Linked DNA regions of Oryctolagus cuniculus. The protein of the gene in region 1 binds, or shares a complex with, the protein of each later gene. Links are inferred from orthologs where the notes say so. Each region holds a gene or a part of one and is shown on either strand. Other genes may lie near its edges.

What was found. Proteins that work in one complex are often made in the same cells at the same time.
Region 2: TUBGCP2 (region 1) and TUBG2 share a complex: the UniProt entries of both Homo sapiens proteins name them as parts of the gamma-tubulin ring complex. The link is inferred for Oryctolagus cuniculus from reciprocal best matches to the Homo sapiens genes TUBGCP2 and TUBG2.

The regions. Positions count from the first base shown.
Region 1 is NC_091446.1:257,127-265,037, reverse strand, and holds the start of TUBGCP2 (gamma-tubulin complex component 2), read right to left. Parts: upstream 4,942-7,911; 5' UTR 4,803-4,941; intron 2,493-4,802; 5' UTR 2,437-2,492; coding exon 2,287-2,436; intron 1,665-2,286; coding exon 1,536-1,664; intron 1,105-1,535; coding exon 928-1,104; intron 1-927. Other genes in the region: ZNF511 (zinc finger protein 511), read left to right, coding at 4,977-5,129, 5,512-5,585, 5,820-6,021, 6,089-6,213, 6,687-6,945. UniProt on the Homo sapiens protein: Component of the gamma-tubulin ring complex (gTuRC) which mediates microtubule nucleation.
Region 2 is NC_091448.1:20,228,605-20,236,464, reverse strand, and holds TUBG2 (tubulin gamma-2 chain), read left to right. Parts: upstream 1-2,556; 5' UTR 2,557-2,752; coding exon 2,753-2,801; intron 2,802-3,062; coding exon 3,063-3,175; intron 3,176-3,377; coding exon 3,378-3,545; intron 3,546-3,851; coding exon 3,852-3,920; intron 3,921-4,293; coding exon 4,294-4,373; intron 4,374-4,730; coding exon 4,731-4,857; intron 4,858-5,473; coding exon 5,474-5,560; intron 5,561-5,676; coding exon 5,677-5,826; intron 5,827-6,180; coding exon 6,181-6,333; intron 6,334-6,410; coding exon 6,411-6,572; intron 6,573-6,678; coding exon 6,679-6,876; 3' UTR 6,877-7,055; downstream 7,056-7,860. UniProt on the Homo sapiens protein: Tubulin is the major constituent of microtubules, protein filaments consisting of alpha- and beta-tubulin heterodimers. Gamma-tubulin is a key component of the gamma-tubulin ring complex (gTuRC) which mediates microtubule nucleation.

The DNA of each region.
Region 1 (7,911 bases):
ATCTCAATCCAGGTCCCCAGGTGGCCGGCAGGTACCTAACCACTTGAGCCATCCATCACCTGCTTCTGCACTGTCAGGACGCTGCGGCCACGAACTGGAGCTGGGAATTGAAGCCACGTGCTCTACCAGAGAACTGGGCATCGTAACCACTGGGCTACAAGCCAGCTCCCGTCCAGAACTCCCAAGGACAGTCACCCTGGAGAGCGAGGCTCCGCATCAAGCCTCTGCTCCCCTAAATGCAGGTTGATTTACTAATTATCAAAGATTTATTTGAAAAGCAGAATTACAGAAAGAGAGGAACAGAGAACAGAGATATTAATCCATCTGCCATCCACTGGTTCACTTTCCAAATCACTAAAACGGCCGGGGGTGGGTCAGGCTGAGGCTGTGAGCCCAGAGCTCCACCCTGGTCTCCCACCTGGGTAGCAGGGCACTCAGGCCGTCCTCTGCTGCTTTCCCGGCACAGCAGCAGGGAGTTGGATCAGAAGTGGAGCAGCTGGGACCCAAACCAGCGCTCAGACAGGATGCCAGTGTTGCAGGCAGTGGCTTAACCTGCTGCACCACAATGCTGGCCCACAGTTTTTTTTTTTTTTTTTTTTTTAAGTTTTCTTTAAAAGGCAGAGTTACACAAACAGAGAGGGAGAGACAGGGAGCAATCTTCCATCCACTCGTTCACTCCCCAAACAGCCACAATGGCCAGAGCTTCTCCTGGGTCTCCCATGTGGGTGCAGGGGCCCAGGGATCTGGGCCGTCCTCTGCTGCTTTCCCAGGCACACTGGTGGGCAGCTGGATCAGAAGTGGAGCAGCTGGGACTAGAATTTGTGCCTGTATGGAATACCAGTGTCTCAGGCTGGCCACACCACAGTGTCAGCCCACAACAGAGAAGCGCCCACCCGGCTGGCGCTGTGGCCACCATGGCTGTGATACCTGCTGCAGCGTGGAGCCCGTGGTCACGCTGCCCAGCTGCTTTCTGAGCTCTTCCAGCTCCTGCATGGACATCTTGGAGGCCGTGGCGGAGACGCTGAAGCCGGCAGCACTGCTGGCGGCAGCGCTGGCCGCGAGCTCGCCTCTGTCCTTCGCATTCTGATGCAGATACTGCAGGGTCTGAAACATGCAGACTGTGTGTCCACAACGGGCCGGCAGAGTCTGTGCACCTCACTGGACAGTCACGCCCGGTCCTTTCTAACTCAGATGCCCACACGGGACACGAGGAGGGCCCTGCAGCCCCACAGGGAGGACACTCTGCAGTCTGCTCTGAGCTGTCCTTGTGGTCAGCACGTCCAGCGGCCCCTGAGCCTGGACTAGAGGACAGAAACCAGCAGGTCACTGGCTGGGCCCCTCTGCCTCATGTTCTCCTCACACCCGGTGCAGACCCACCCAGCCGAGGTGACGCCCGCTCGACGCACCGGCACCTGGCCTCCGGGCGTTACTGGCAGGGGGCAGGTGGGAGCTGGGCAGCAGGCACACGTCACTCGGCTCTGAGACCCTGGAGAGCGCCCTTCCCAGCGTCCCCATGTTGGGCACAGGGCGCCTACCTCTCTGTCTTCTGTAAGCTTTGACAACAGGTACACCAGGGGGTCAAGGTTCCTCGTGTTTTTGGATTTCAGTTCATCGTATTTCTTTAGAAAGTCTTCTGGAGTGCGGGAAAACTCAGCAATTTTAACCTTAAAAGCACACACATAAGTGATTTAATGGCCACAATTAAAGTCAAAAAAAACTAAACCAGGTCAGCTAAGTTACCCTATTTGTCTCTGAAAGAAAACTAACGACTCCACACAGACCCAGGCCTTGCCACGCAGCTGCTCTCGGGTCAGGCCGTGAGGGCTTTGGCCACTCGCGAGCCCCACATCTCCTGCTGTCCACGGCCCAGAGCTCGCGTGGCCGAGGGTGCTCCTGTGTGCCCCTCAGCCCCCCATCCACACGTGATCTGTCACATCCTGCCATTGCTCCGCCATCTAAATAAAACTTCCCCACTCATTTTTAGAAGACTTCAAATTCAAGATCACTTTCCACTGAAGACTTTATTTTGAACGACGTATTACTTGAACAGAGAAACAGTGCTTTAAAGGGATTTCAACGTGGCCAACGCCAGCAGCTTCTCTTCCTGTTCACAGGAAAGGCTGTGGTCTCTCCCCGGTCTCCACTTACTCATCTCTGGGGTGGGCAAAGGGCAGGAGCTGGTGTGAGACGCGGGCCGGCCTGGTGTGCAGGATGTGGTCACGGGCACCAGGGACGGGACCCGCCAGCGTGGTCCCGCAAGGCCCTGCGGAGCGGGCAGGCGCTCACCTTGGCGCTGTGGGCGGAGACGGTGGTGGAGACGTAGGGCGTCCGGTTCTTCTGCAGCAGGTCGATGTAGACCTCAGCCCCGTCGCCCCCGTGCACACGCAGCAGGCTGAGCAGCTCGTTGACGTCGTGGTGAATCCGAAACTCACTCATGGCTGCGGCTCCCCGTCACCAGCATCGCGGTGCGCCTTCCAGAGGGGAAACCAAGCCTGCAGCACACGGTGACGAGGACCTGACGTGCCACGGCTGGGCCCTGAACAGGGCAACTCGGCCCCAGCCCCCAGCTCCTTCCTGACCACCTGCCGCCTCCGTGTGCCGCCAGCTGCATGGCACTCAGCTATGCCACAGACCAGACAACCAGCCCCAGCGGGAAGAATCATTGTGACCCCAAAGGTCTTAATTCTTTTTTTTTTATGATAGGCCAAGTGACACAGAGAAAGAGAGAGAAAAGGAGATCTTTTATCTGCTGGTTCACTCCCCAAATGGCCGCAGCAGCTGGGGGTGGGCCGGGCCCAAGCCAGGAGCCGGGAAGCCCATCCAGGCTCTCCCACGTGGTGCAGGGGCCCAAGCACTGGGGCTTCCTGGGGCTTTCCCAGGTGCATCAGCAGGCAGCTGGCCTGGAGGCAGAGCAGCCAGGACTTGAACCTGCGCCCCCACATGGATGCCGCCGTCACAGATGGTGAGCCAACCCGTGTGCCAGTGCCGGCTCCCTCTGTCCTCCACCAGGGAGCCCTCAGCTGGTGGACAGAACAGACACGGCAGCTCTGCCCCTTTGGGACTCCAGGATTTGGACAGGCCGGGGGAGGGATGCTGTGCACAGGCCAAATGCATGGAGAGTGGAGCCGGGTCACGCGCGGGAGGCCCCCTCCAGGCTCTCCACCCTCTGTGTGCCGCCGCCTCCCAGGACCCACACGCTGCTTCTTCCTGCCCAGGCCCAGCTCAGGATGGGCAGGCCCCGGAGGGCGTCACGTTCTCACTGCTCCCTACACTGTTCGCCTGGGGTCATTTCAGCTCAGCCTGCCCAGGTCATCAGCTGTCCTAGGGTCCCATGTCAGTCAGACGCTCCCAGTGGACAGCAGCAGACTACACAGGCGTCCCCACCGCACTGGTGCCTGCTGCTGCCGGGGCTGCCCAGGCACTCGTGATGGGCCCGAGGGCACTGTGACTTCCCCAGACCCAAAAGCAGACTTGACAGCCCTAGAAAACCACTTGGCGTCCAACCTGGAACCTACAAGTAACGTGCAAATCCTGGAAGTCAGAGGCAAAATGATTCATGTCTGTGTTTTCTGAGTGACGGTCTCCCACCAAGTTCTCAAAGGCTCTGTGATTCCAAAATGGTTAAGAACCACTCCACAGGGCCAGCGCTGAGGCGTAGCGGGTAAAGCTGTCGCCTGCAGTGCCGGAATCCCACACGGGCGCAGGTTCCAGTCCCAGCTGCTCCACTTCCAATCCAGCTTTCTGCTGTGGCCTGGGAAAGCAGCAGACGGTGGCCCAAGTCCTTGGGCCATGTGGGAGACCTGGAGGGAGCTCCAGCCACTGCGGCCATTTGGGGAGTGAACCAGCAGACGAAGACCTCCTCTCCCTAACATAAAACAAACAAAACCCCCACCGTGCCAGCAAGCTACCGGCCCCACAGCTTCAGCGAGGCCAAGCTCTAAGTCAGACGCCCCAGCAAGCACACCAAAGGCGCCAGGCACTCGGCTTCCCGACCACGGCTGAGCGTCGGGGTGGACTCGGTCTCCTGGTCACCGCACGGGCATCCCACACTGGCCGCACGCTTCCGAGTCGGGAGGTGCTCACAGCAGCCCACGGGGCAGCACGAGGCCAGCAGGGAGCGGACGCCGGCACCCCGGGGAGTCGCCGATGCTGCCGGGCAGGCGCGGGAGGCCCAGGCCGGTTCCCACACCGCCGCCCCGCGCCCAACACCACCAGAGCCTCCTCGGACCCCCGGCCGCCAGGCCTCCTGAAGCCGGGGGCTGAGGTTCACGGTGGCCAGGTGGACACCAGGTCAAGCGCGCTGAGGGTGGGCCAGAGTCACGCATCGGACGCCACCCGCGGCCAAGAGGCTCGAGGGGTGCAACGTCCAGGCACTGACGCCAACCCGGCTGTCGGCCGGGCCGCTCTCCGGGTCTTGGACACTCCCGCGTCCTCGGCTCTGCGTCCGCGGGCACCCGGAGGCCGTCGCCTCCCGGCGTCCAGCCCGAGCTCGCGCGGGGTCACGCGGGGCCTCGGCCGCTCCGACCAGGTGGGCGCGCGCCCCCGACCAGGCTCCAGGGGTGCCGTCTGCCCGTCCCAGCACGGAAGGACCCTCCCCTCGGGCCGCACGGCGCGTCCTGGGCGCTGCCACCGCTTCCAGGGTCCCGACCGCGACGCGGGCGCTACAGGCCCCTCCGGCGGGAGCCAGCTCCGGGCCACAGGAACCGCGGCCCGGCGGGCGGAAGAGGACGGCTCGGGCCAGCGGCCCGCCCGAACCCCTGCCGGCCTTCGGAGCCCACTCAGCCCCACCACCCCGGACTCACCAGACCCCGAGGCGACCACCCAGTCCCGCGCCGCCTGCCGCCGCCGGAAGCGCACCGACGTCACATCCGGGCGGCAAGTAGGGCCCGCCCCCGGAAGCGCGCTGACGTCACGGCGCACCCTACGTTCGAGGTGGGCAGTGGCCGGCAGGCTGGGAGCCGCAGGCCCCTGAGGGGATGCTGCTGCCGCCTGCGCTGCGCGCCCGTCTGGCTGGCGGGCCTGGGGCGGCCGAGCCGCTGCCCGTGGAGCGGGACCCCGCGGCGGGCGCCTCTCCGTTCTGCTTTGCGGCGCGCCAGGAGCGCTTCCCGCGGGAGCACGAGTTCTTCGAGGTGAAGAGAGCAGAACGGTGGTCGGGGGGCGGGGCCTCGAGGGTGGGCAGGGCGGGGGCGGGGCCCTGAGGGGAGGGCCCGGAGAGATGGGCGGGGCGGGGCCTTGAGGGCGGGCACGCGTTGGGGGCGGGGCCTTGGAGTGGGTCTGGTTGGCGGGCAGGGCCCTGAGGGGCTGACTAGAGAGGAAGCGGGGACCTTGAGGGCGGGCCCGGAGAGATGGGCGTGGGGGGGCCTCCTGTGAGCGGGGCCTTGAGGGTGGGCCCGAGCGGTGGGCAGGGCCTTGAGGGGCGGGAGGTGGGCTGGGCCTGTGATGGGCTGGCCTGGGGTGTGGCAGACTGCGCCCGAGCTCCGGGGGCCCGCCCACAGCACGGCTCTCTCGCAGGAAGGGGATGTGCAGCGGCACCTGTACCTCCAGGATGTGCTCACGCAGGTGGCCGAGGTGCCGGACAGGCCCAGGTGAGCAGCTCGGGCCAGGCCCCCACCCGTCCTGTGCCCGGAGCAGCCTGAGCCGAGCGAGCGCCCCCCATCCCGCCCGCGAGCTCCAGAGGGTGGGCTCCAGGCTGCCTGCTGTGCGCATCTTCATCCGCCCCCCCCCCCCCCCCCCCGTCTGGTGCGCAGGCAGCTTTCGGGGCGTCTCGGGCGGGGGCGTGGCGACGGTCAGGGGTCCAGCTCGGCCTCTGTCCTCGCCAGGGTGCCGGAGTTCACCTGCCAGGTGGCCGGCTGCTGCCAGGTGTTCGACACGCTGGAGTGCTACGAGCACCACTACCACACGCTGCACAGGAACGTGTGCGCCTTCTGCCAGCGGGCCTTCCCCTCCGGACACCTGCTGGACGCCCACGTGCTGGAGTGGCACGACTCGCTCTTCCAGGTCCTGTCCGAGAGGCAGGACATGGTGGGTGCCGGGCCGGTGGGCGGCGGGGCGTGGCGGCGGGGCGGGCGGTGACGCGGCTGCCTTTCAGTACCAGTGCCTGGTGGAGGGCTGCCCGGAGAGGTTCAAGACCAGCGAGGCCCGGAAGGACCACCTGGTGAGGGTTCACCTGTACCCTGCAGACTTCCGCTTTGATAAAGCAAAGAAAAGCAGAGGGTAGGTGAGGGGCCTGGCCGGCGGCTGGCCGGCGGTGCCCTGGGTTCAGAGGTCACCTCTGTGCTCTGCGGCTGAGCGCCTGTGGGTGGCCCCAGCAGTGGGCAGGGGTCACTGACGGGGGGAAGGGGGAGGGCAGATCCCTGGCTCCTGGCTCTGTGCTGGGGCAGCAGAGGGGAGTTGGGAGCGAGCGGGCGGCTGCCTTCCCTGCACTCATGACTCCTGGCCTTCTGACCTCCTGACCTCTGAGCAGCCTTGGGAGCTGCCCCAGACCCCGCCCCCCTGGGGCATCAGTTTTCTGTCCTGCGGTGCAACTGCTCAGGGCCCTGGGGGAGATGCCCCCCGGGATTCTGGAATTGCGTGCTATTTCTTTGCCTTTTTTAAGAAAAAAAATTTTGGTTTATTTGAAAGAGTATGGGGGGAGAGAGGGAGGGAGGGGGAGAGAGAGATCTTCTGTCTTCTGGTTCACTCCCCAGATGGCTGCAGTGGCCAGGGCTGGACCAGGCCAATGCCAGGAGCCAGGAAGTTCATCCGGGTCTCTCACGAAGGTGCAAGGGCCTTAGCACCTGGTCCACCCTCCTCTGCTTTCCCAGGCCATCAGCAGGGAGCTGGATCAGAAGTGGAGCAGCTGGGACTCGAACCAGCACTCATGTGGGATGCAGTGCTGTACCCGCTGTGCCACAGCGCCAGCCCCGGAGGGCTCATGTTAAGGGGAAGCCTGTAGTGCTAGATTGAGAGGTTGGTATCAGGGAGGGTGTTCCCTAGTCTTGGGCGAGTCCAGTAAATCTCTCGTGAGAGGCCTTTGGGGGGCTGGGGTTGTGGTTCAGCCGGTGAAGCTGCCCCTGCAGCAGCAGCAGCCCTTACCAGAGCGCCGGGTCCACCAGCGGCTCTGCTCCCACGCCTGCTCATGCTCCTGTGGGGGGCAGTGAGGCCCAGGTGCCTGGGCCCTGCACCCACATGGGAGACCTGGTGGAGCGCCTGGCTCCCGGCTTCAGCCTGGCCCAGCCCTGGCTGTGTGGGCCTCTGGGGAGTGAGCCAGCGGAGGGAGATCTCGCCCACGTGGGTGCAGGGAGCTTGGTCGGAAGTGGAGCAGGGACACAAACTGGTGCCCACGTGGGAGGCCCACGTCCAGGCAGCTTTGTGTGCTACGCCACAGTGCTGGCCCCAGAGATAAATCCAGAAGAGCGAACCCTGGTGGGCATCTACCACGTGGCACTGAAGGAGCTGGGGTCACAGCAGGTGTGAGGTGGTTCACTGAGGGTCAGGGTTCAGCACCAAAGTGGTGCCGGTGCCGATCTGCTCCTGGCACACCACAGACTGTGCCGAAACAGTAAGAGGCTGTGGTCTCCTGGAAAGTTCTCAGGGAAATAGGACCGAAGCCGCTGGTCACTCTCTGTCTTCCACAGCCCAGCCATGCCAGGGGCCAGAGTGAGCACGTCTGCAGGAGCCCCGCGGGATGACGGGGAGCAGTCAGAAGGGGACGCCATGGAGGTCGGCGCTGAGCCTGGGGCAGCCCCGGCAGCACCCTCGGCGGAGCGGAGGGCCTCGGGTCGCAGGTCAGCCTCTGTCTTCCAGAGCCTGTCCTGGGTGTGTGCAGACCGGGCAGTGCTGGCCGCGGCCTGGGCCGAGTTCTTGCCGAGTCAGCCTGGGTTTTTCTTCAACTCTGGTTCTGGGCGGCAGGAACGCATTGGGCCCGCAGCC
Region 2 (7,860 bases), on another chromosome or scaffold:
TCTGGGAGAGAAGATGCAGGGGCAAGGCACGGTTGGGAGTCGCGAGCCGCGGCGAAGCGTCACCCGCTAGGGTCACACACACACACACCGGCCGCGGCTCGCGGCTCGCGGCTCGCAGGAGCCCGGCGCCCCCGCCCCCGCCCGGCCGAGGCAAGCGGACGCCGCTCGCTCGCGGGCAGCCCCGGCGCGGAGCACGTCCTGGCGGCAGCGCCCGCCCCGCCCTCGACCCTCAGAGGGAGCGGCCGGACCCGCCCCGGCCCGGCGAGAAGGCCGGGTCCCCGTGCGGACGCCGGAGCCGGACGACGGCTGGGGGGACGGAAACGGCCCGAGGCCGGCGGGGGCGGGCGCGGGGCGAGCTCCAGAGCCTTCCAGAGCCGCCCGGAGCATCTGGGCGGCGGGGCCTGGAAGGCGGCCGAGTTCTCTTTAAAAAAAAAAAAAAAAGAGCGAGAAAAAAAGAAAACAAAAGCCGGAGCCGGCGTCCGAGCGGGAGTCTCGGCGGCGCTCTGGCCTGCTCCTCCCGGGCTCCCAGGGCCGGCCCCCCTCGGAGCGCGGCCTGGAACGTTCCGGGGGGGGGGCGGGCGGCGCTGCGCCGGCTGCTCCGTAATTGTTCCGAGACGGCTCCGAGCATGCATATGGAAGAAATAAAGTAGCTCCCTATCTCAAATAAATTCCAGATGCCCCGGAGACCTACCGGGAACACGCGAAAACTGTTGTGCAAGCAGGGAAGATACTGCGAGTAGGGGCCGGGGTGGGGTGGGGTGGGGGCTTCCTTAAGTTCTCGAAACAAAGGGAAAGTCCGCAGTAAAACTGACAGCGTCCCTGTGGCAAGACACACTTCTCGATGTGAAGACGAGGCCCAGGTGATATCTGCAAGCTGTCCAAGGGTGGATGTGCGGAACTGACTGCAAATGTCTAAGATAAACGGGCAAGGGCTACCCACGGGCAGGTCCCAGAGGAGGCATCCCCAAAAGGAAAGCGAGTGGCCCTCGCCCGGCATCGCGACTGGGCATTCCACCCTCCAGATCCCCTTCAGCCTCTGTGGAACTGACAAAACCAGTACCTGGCAGCCCAAGAGCAGGTGCGCCTGTGGGAAACAACTCGGGCTGGGAAGAGTGCAGCCGGTCAGGAATAAGCCCCAAGCTGTGCAAGCCTCCACAGAGACTTGGCGCTTCCTGTTCGTAGGCAGGCAGCTCCTGTGCCCCTGTGGTGGGGGGTTATTGAGAACAATCTTTAAAAAACATCAAAACTGTGCATTGTATGGAGTACTATGTGACATCTCCAAACGCGTACATGGTGTGATGTTCAAACCACAGAAAACATATCTGTCTCTGCAAACATTTATCAGCTCTTGAGGGTTCTAGCTTTTTAAGAAAGCAAACAATACTTTACTGTCATCCATAGTCACCCCACAGGCCAATTCAACACCAGAATGCCTTTCTCCTGTCTAACTATAACTTAGTATCGGTTAATCACCCTTTCCCATCTGGCCTTCCACTAATTGAGAACAATCTAACCCCACTCGTTTGGAAGTAGAATAAACTGCTTTTGTTTGTCCACTGAAATACAATACAGCAGTTAAAAGGGATGAACTAAATCTACCCATATTAACACGGCTACATCACAAAAAGCCCTAATGTAAGGTGAAAAAAGCAAGCTGCTTTTCTCTGATATTATACTTTGGTATCATTTATATAAATTTCAAAACACAAAAATAGATGGTAAAAATATAAAATTATGTTGTCTATGTCACCTTTCCGGTAATTTAGAGTAAAACAGAGCCTCAGAGATACCACTTCACACCCAGGCTATGATCAAAAGCTAGCGAGGAACAAGTGTTGCTGGAGATAACACTGGAACCCCTCAGCACTGCCAGTGGGAACGTAATCTTGTGCAGCTGCTGTGGAAAAGAGTATGGCGATTCCTCAATTAGACACAGTTATCAGCAATCCTACTTCCGGGTATGCAAGCAAGGAGTTAAATAGATATCTGTACACCCGCGTCCAAAGGGGCACTATTCAAAATGGCCAAAAGGTGGAACAAGTGTCCGCCGAGGTTTGAGTGGATAAACAAATGTGGTGTATCTATGCCACGGAATATTATTCAGCTTTAATAGAGAAAGAATGGTGACTTCCAGGGTCTGCGCCGAAGACGGGAAGTTGCTGTTTAATGGGTAAGGTTTCAGTTTGGGAAAGAGAAAATGCTCTGAAAATGGAGGGTGCTGATGGGTACAGAACAATGCGAGTATACTTAATGTCTGTTAACTGTTGAAATGATGGATTTTATGCTGTGCACGAGTATGTCAAACAATTTTAGAAAAATAGAAATTTAAAGGAAGAAAGTTGCCTTGGATCCAGCCCAGGCCCCAGCGGAGCTGACAGTCCTTAGGGCATCAGGACCTACACCCGGACTACCTAGTGCACCCAGCCGTCCTCTCCCCACCTGCCCGCAGCCTAAGGTCGCGACCCTGCGAGCCCCCGCCAGTCTCAGGGCGCAGGCGCGGAGAGGTGGGCAGGCGGGGGCGTGGCCTCGCTCTGCGCCTGTGCCGAATTCCAGCTGCGCCTGCCATGGGGGAAAATGATGCCCAGGTTGGGCTCCGCGGCCCGCCGGCGGAGCAGACGCCCGCACTGCACACGCGCAGACCGAGCGCTCGCGTCGAGAGGCGAGGGGAGCGCGCGCTGCCCACGTCCTGCGCGCCCGGCTGCCGGGCGTTCGTCTCGGCCGTGACTCCCGCCGGGCCCGTGTCCGCAGAGCGATGCCCCGGGAGATCATCACCCTGCAGCTGGGCCAGTGCGGCAACCAGAGTGAGCAAGCGAGCTCCGGGCCCCGCCACTCTCTCGTTCTGCCCCTTCGGGGTCCACGGGAGTGCTTGGTTCCCACCGGGTCCCCTCTCCCTCTCGTGAACCCCCTGCCCTACTGCGCATGACCACGCAGGCCCTGGGCTGTGACGGCTCCCAGAGCCGGCGTCCTGGGCGCACGCTCCGAGAGTGGCAGCCTCAGAGCCTGACGCTGAGCTGCCCAGGCCTTTCGGCTCTCGCAGACCCGGGCGTCTCCCCTCTCCCCAGTTGGTTTCGAGTTCTGGAAACAGCTGTGCGCCGAGCATGGTATCAGCCCCGAGGGCATCGTGGAGGAGTTCGCCACCGAGGGCACGGACCGCAAGGACGTCTTTTTCTACCAGGTGCCCCCGGCGGCTGGGCCAGGACCCCGGGGGCCTGAAGGGACGGGGCAGGGGCTGGTGCTGGGGAGCCCGCTGGGCACAGGGCCCCGCGGCTGGCTCGGGGAGGGAGGCCCGGCAGGAGCCCGAGTGGGACTGGACTGGGGCCTGGGCCGGCGGTGGCGCCGGCTGACGGGGCCGCCCCTTCCCGGCCTCTCGCTGGCAGGCCGATGATGAGCACTACATCCCGCGGGCCGTGCTGCTGGACCTGGAGCCCCGGGTGATCCACTCCATCCTCAACTCTCCCTACGCCAAGCTCTACAACCCGGAGAACATCTACCTGGCTGAGCACGGAGGAGGAGCTGGCAACAACTGGGCCAGGGGATTCTCCCAGGTGTCCAAGCCGGGGACCCTTGGATAGTCCCACCCTGGGGCAAGGCAGGCTCAGGCAACCTGGGAATTTGACCAGAACAGATTTCTGATACGTAAGAGATAAAGGGATGCTTTGACAAAGGGACAGCCAGGGAGAGCTTTATGCAAATTTTGTACAAGTCACAAAGTATCATTTCTGCGTTGAGGGCAAGAGCTGAAGCTCTGCTTCAGGGGGGTCACAAAGCCCTCCCCCGCCGCCCTCCCTTGTGGAATTCTTGTTGCTGAACAGAGAACCTTGGACCTGACTCTCTGCCATGTCTCTGTCCAGGGTGAGAAGATCCACGAGGACATCTTCGACATCATAGACCGGGAAGCGGACGGAAGCGACAGTCTTGAGGTGAGCTTCTCCCCAGCTCCCGTGGGGTGCAGCGGAGAGGGGCTGCGGCGTGTTGGGGGTCAGGCGGTGGCCCGAGCAGGCCCTGGGATGGTGGCAGTCCAATTCCAGGCCCATTTGTTGAGCATCTGGTTTGGGATCTTGAGGTAGATAAGGTGCAGTCCTTGTTCTCAGGGAAGCCGTAGCCTGGAGGGTGTGAATCCCTCAGCCTGTCCCCAAGCCCTGAGTCTTCCCAAGGAGCCTCGGCCTGGACGGACACAGAGGAAGCCTTGAGGCACGAGTGTGTTGCGAGTGGGTGGGGAATGAGACAAGCTGGCAGCCTCCCCCTCCCCCTGCCCAGGTCCCTGGTCACTGCCTGTCCTTCACTCCCACACAGGGCTTCGTGCTGTGTCACTCCATTGCCGGGGGGACCGGCTCTGGCATGGGCTCCTACCTCCTGGAACGGCTGAATGACAGGTAGGCCGGTGTTTGTTAGGAGGGCATTAGCCCGGGTCCCCTTTTCCTTCTGAGCGGGAAGGCCTGCCCCTACTGCTTTTGAGTCCTAGAGACAGACCCACCCAGGTAACCTTGGCAGCAACCAACACCTGGGGGGGGGGGCACCTGGGGACAGGGGAGATCTAGAGTTTGATGCTTGCAGCTTATCCTGTTCATTCTGAAGACTGAGTCCCGCCCTTACCCTGCTACTGTACAAGAGCTTGGTGGCACACGAAAATCGTGGTGCCCATTGTCCCCACAGAAGACAGAGTGAGCAGTCCGGTAAGTCCTGTTGCTTCTCTGTGCCACCCTCCCCCTTTCCTTCTTCTTCACCCTCAGGTACCCCAAGAAGCTGGTGCAGACCTACTCAGTGTTTCCCAACCAGGACGAGATGAGCGACGTGGTGGTCCAGCCCTACAACTCGCTCCTCACGCTCAAGCGGCTGACTCAGAACGCAGACTGCGTGGTGAGCAAAAGAAGAGGGAGTCGAGGGCTGTGGGACCCCCCTGAGTCACAGCCAGCCTGCCCTGCCCTGCCCAGCACAAAAAGAACCACCAAAGCCAGACCCGTGGTCGGACTGCGAAGTAAGGTCGCAACCTCCAGGGTGCTTATGTGACTTTAGGCAGCCAGTCCCCCAGCACAGGGACTGCCTCCCCCTGCCACCACATAAGCCACTCAGCCCACTCAGTGCCTGCTCACGTTTCAGCTCCAGCTCAGGGGTCACTGTCTTAGTGAAACTTCGCTGCCTACCCAGTCAAGGTCAGCTTCCTTTGTCATATTTCAGGTTAACAGCGTCTTTTTTCTGTTCTGTATTCAATGTCAGCCTCCCTCAACTAGGCTGGAGGCCTGGCGAGGGCAAGACCGTGCCCGTTTTCACTCTGTGGTCACTCCAGACCCAGGCACAAAGTGTGGCACAGAGGACACTCACAGATTTGTTTACTGCCCTGCACTGTCCAGAGGGACTCATAATACCCCCAAAGAATGCTTTCCTTGTAAACTAGCAAAGCTACTGACTGCCTTTACAGCTTAGCAGGTGCTCAGCCAATATTTCATGTCTATGCCACCCTGTCTGTCCCCTCCAGGTGGTGCTGGACAACACAGCCCTGAACCGGATAGCCACGGACCGCCTGCACATCCAGAACCCATCCTTCTCCCAGATCAACCAGCTGGTGAGCCCACCTCTGCACTCCTTCCCACTGGAAGTCCTCCCTGAGGGAGGACTGTCGGGGGAGGGGGGAGGGGTCCTACCCAGGCCAGGCCCATGACACAGCACCCCTGTCCCCAGGTGTCCACCATCATGTCAGCCAGCACCACCACCCTGCGCTACCCCGGCTACATGAACAACGACCTCATCGGCCTCATCGCCTCGCTCATCCCCACGCCCCGGCTCCACTTCCTCATGACCGGCTACACCCCCCTCACCACGGACCAGTCAGTAAGAGCAGCCCTCAGTGTCCCGGGCCAGCTGGCCCTGACCTGGCCTCTCCTCTCCTCGCTGCCCTGGCAGCTGCCCATTGCAGCCCCCAGAGGCCTTGCACTCAGGCACTGGCAGAGCGTGGGACTGTCTCGCTGCCTCGTCTCCACCTTCCCTCTGCCCTGGGCTCCTGCAGGCCCCGTGGCGTGGGGAGCGCTGTTGGCTCCTGCACGAGGACATGTCTGTGAGCTGACGCTGGTCCTGCCTGAGAGGCCGCACTGCTCCAAGTCTGCCGGGGTGTGCTGGCTCCTCTGCATCCCTGCCCGGTGCCCCGAGTGCTGGTCTGGCCCCTGTGACCGCTATCCCACCCCTCAGGTGGCCAGCGTGAGGAAGACCACGGTCCTGGACGTCATGCGGCGGCTGCTGCAGCCCAAGAACGTGATGGTGTCCACAGGCCGGGACCGCCAGACCAACCACTGCTACATCGCCATCCTCAACATCATCCAGGGGGAGGTGGACCCCACCCAGGTAGGGGAGGCCCCTTCCTCCTAGCCTGAAGCCGCAGGGGCACAGAGAGGCTGCCACCTCCCACTGTGCCCACCCAGGTCCACAAGAGCCTGCAGAGGATCCGGGAACGGAAGTTGGCCAACTTCATCCCCTGGGGCCCAGCCAGCATCCAGGTGGCCCTGTCGAGGAAGTCTCCCTACCTGCCCTCAGCCCACCGGGTCAGCGGGCTCATGATGGCCAACCACACCAGCATCTCCTCCGTGAGTCTGGCCATCCTCTGTTCCACCCTCTGCCTTCCCCCAGTCACTTCTCAACCCCTCCCCGTCCTACGCTGGCCCCTCTCCTGGAGTTTTCCGTTTCTTCCAGCTCTTCGAAAGTTCCTGCCAGCAGTACGACAAGCTGTGGAAGCGGGGAGCCTTTCTGGAGCAGTTCCGCAAGGAGGACATCTTCAAGGACAACTTCGACGAGATGGACAGGTCCAGGGAGGTTGTGCAGGAGCTCATCGACGAGTACCACGCAGCCACCCGGCCGGACTACATCTCCTGGGGCACCCAGGAGCAGTGACTTCCCTTCCTGTTCCTCTTCCCGAGTGGGAAACACAGCCTCCATCCCTGGTTCCGCTGACCCAACCCTGCCCGTCAGCCTCTCTGGGTCATCTCCAGCCCAGGAGCTGGCCTACTTCCTCCCTTCTGTGCCCTGACCCTTGATATGCTTGTTCAGCTCTAATAAAGTAATAAAGCATGCTTGTGAGCATAGGCAGGGCTTGAGCGGAACCTGGGGGATGGTGAAGGGATGTCCAGTGTCCAGGCACGCGATGGGAAGGTGGCCCCTGCCTGCTCTAGTCCAGGTCTGTGTCCAGGGTTTCCACTGGTGTCCTTTTTTATTTATTTATTTTTATTTTTTGACAGGCAGAGTGGACAGTGAGAGAGAGAGACAGAGAGAAAGGTCTTCCTTTGCTGTTGGTTCACCCTCCAATGGCCCCCGCGGCTGGTGCGCTGTGGCCGGCGCACCGCGCTGATCCGAAGCCAGGAGCCAGGTGCTTCTCCTGGTCTCCCATGGGGTGCAGGGCCCAAGCACTTGGGCCATCCTCCACTGCCTTCCCTGGCCACAGCAGAGAGCTGTCCTGGAAGAGGGGCAACCGGGACAGAATCCGGCACCCCGACCGGGACTAGAACCCGGTGTGCCGGCGCCGCAAGGCGGAGGATTAGCCTAGTGAGCCGTGGCACCGGCCTCCACTGGTGTCCTTTACCTTGAGTCTAGCTGTCTTACTGGAGTCAGCCCTTCTCTCAAAATTACAGAGGATTTCTGGGGTCTTCTCTCTCCCCCGTGCCCACGCTGTTGCCCTAGGGGACCAGCATTGCCCCACCCTCCTCCATTCGGGACGGAGGACATGGGGTCTACTGAAGCAGGGCCCGCTGCATTCTGAGCAGGTCAGGAAAGCCAGGACTCGGGGTTTCCAGCGCCCAGGGCCTTCAGAGTGCTGGGAAGCAGGAGCAGAACTCGAGCAGGGATCAGCCCACCCTGAGTTACTGTTCCAAGCCAGGGAAG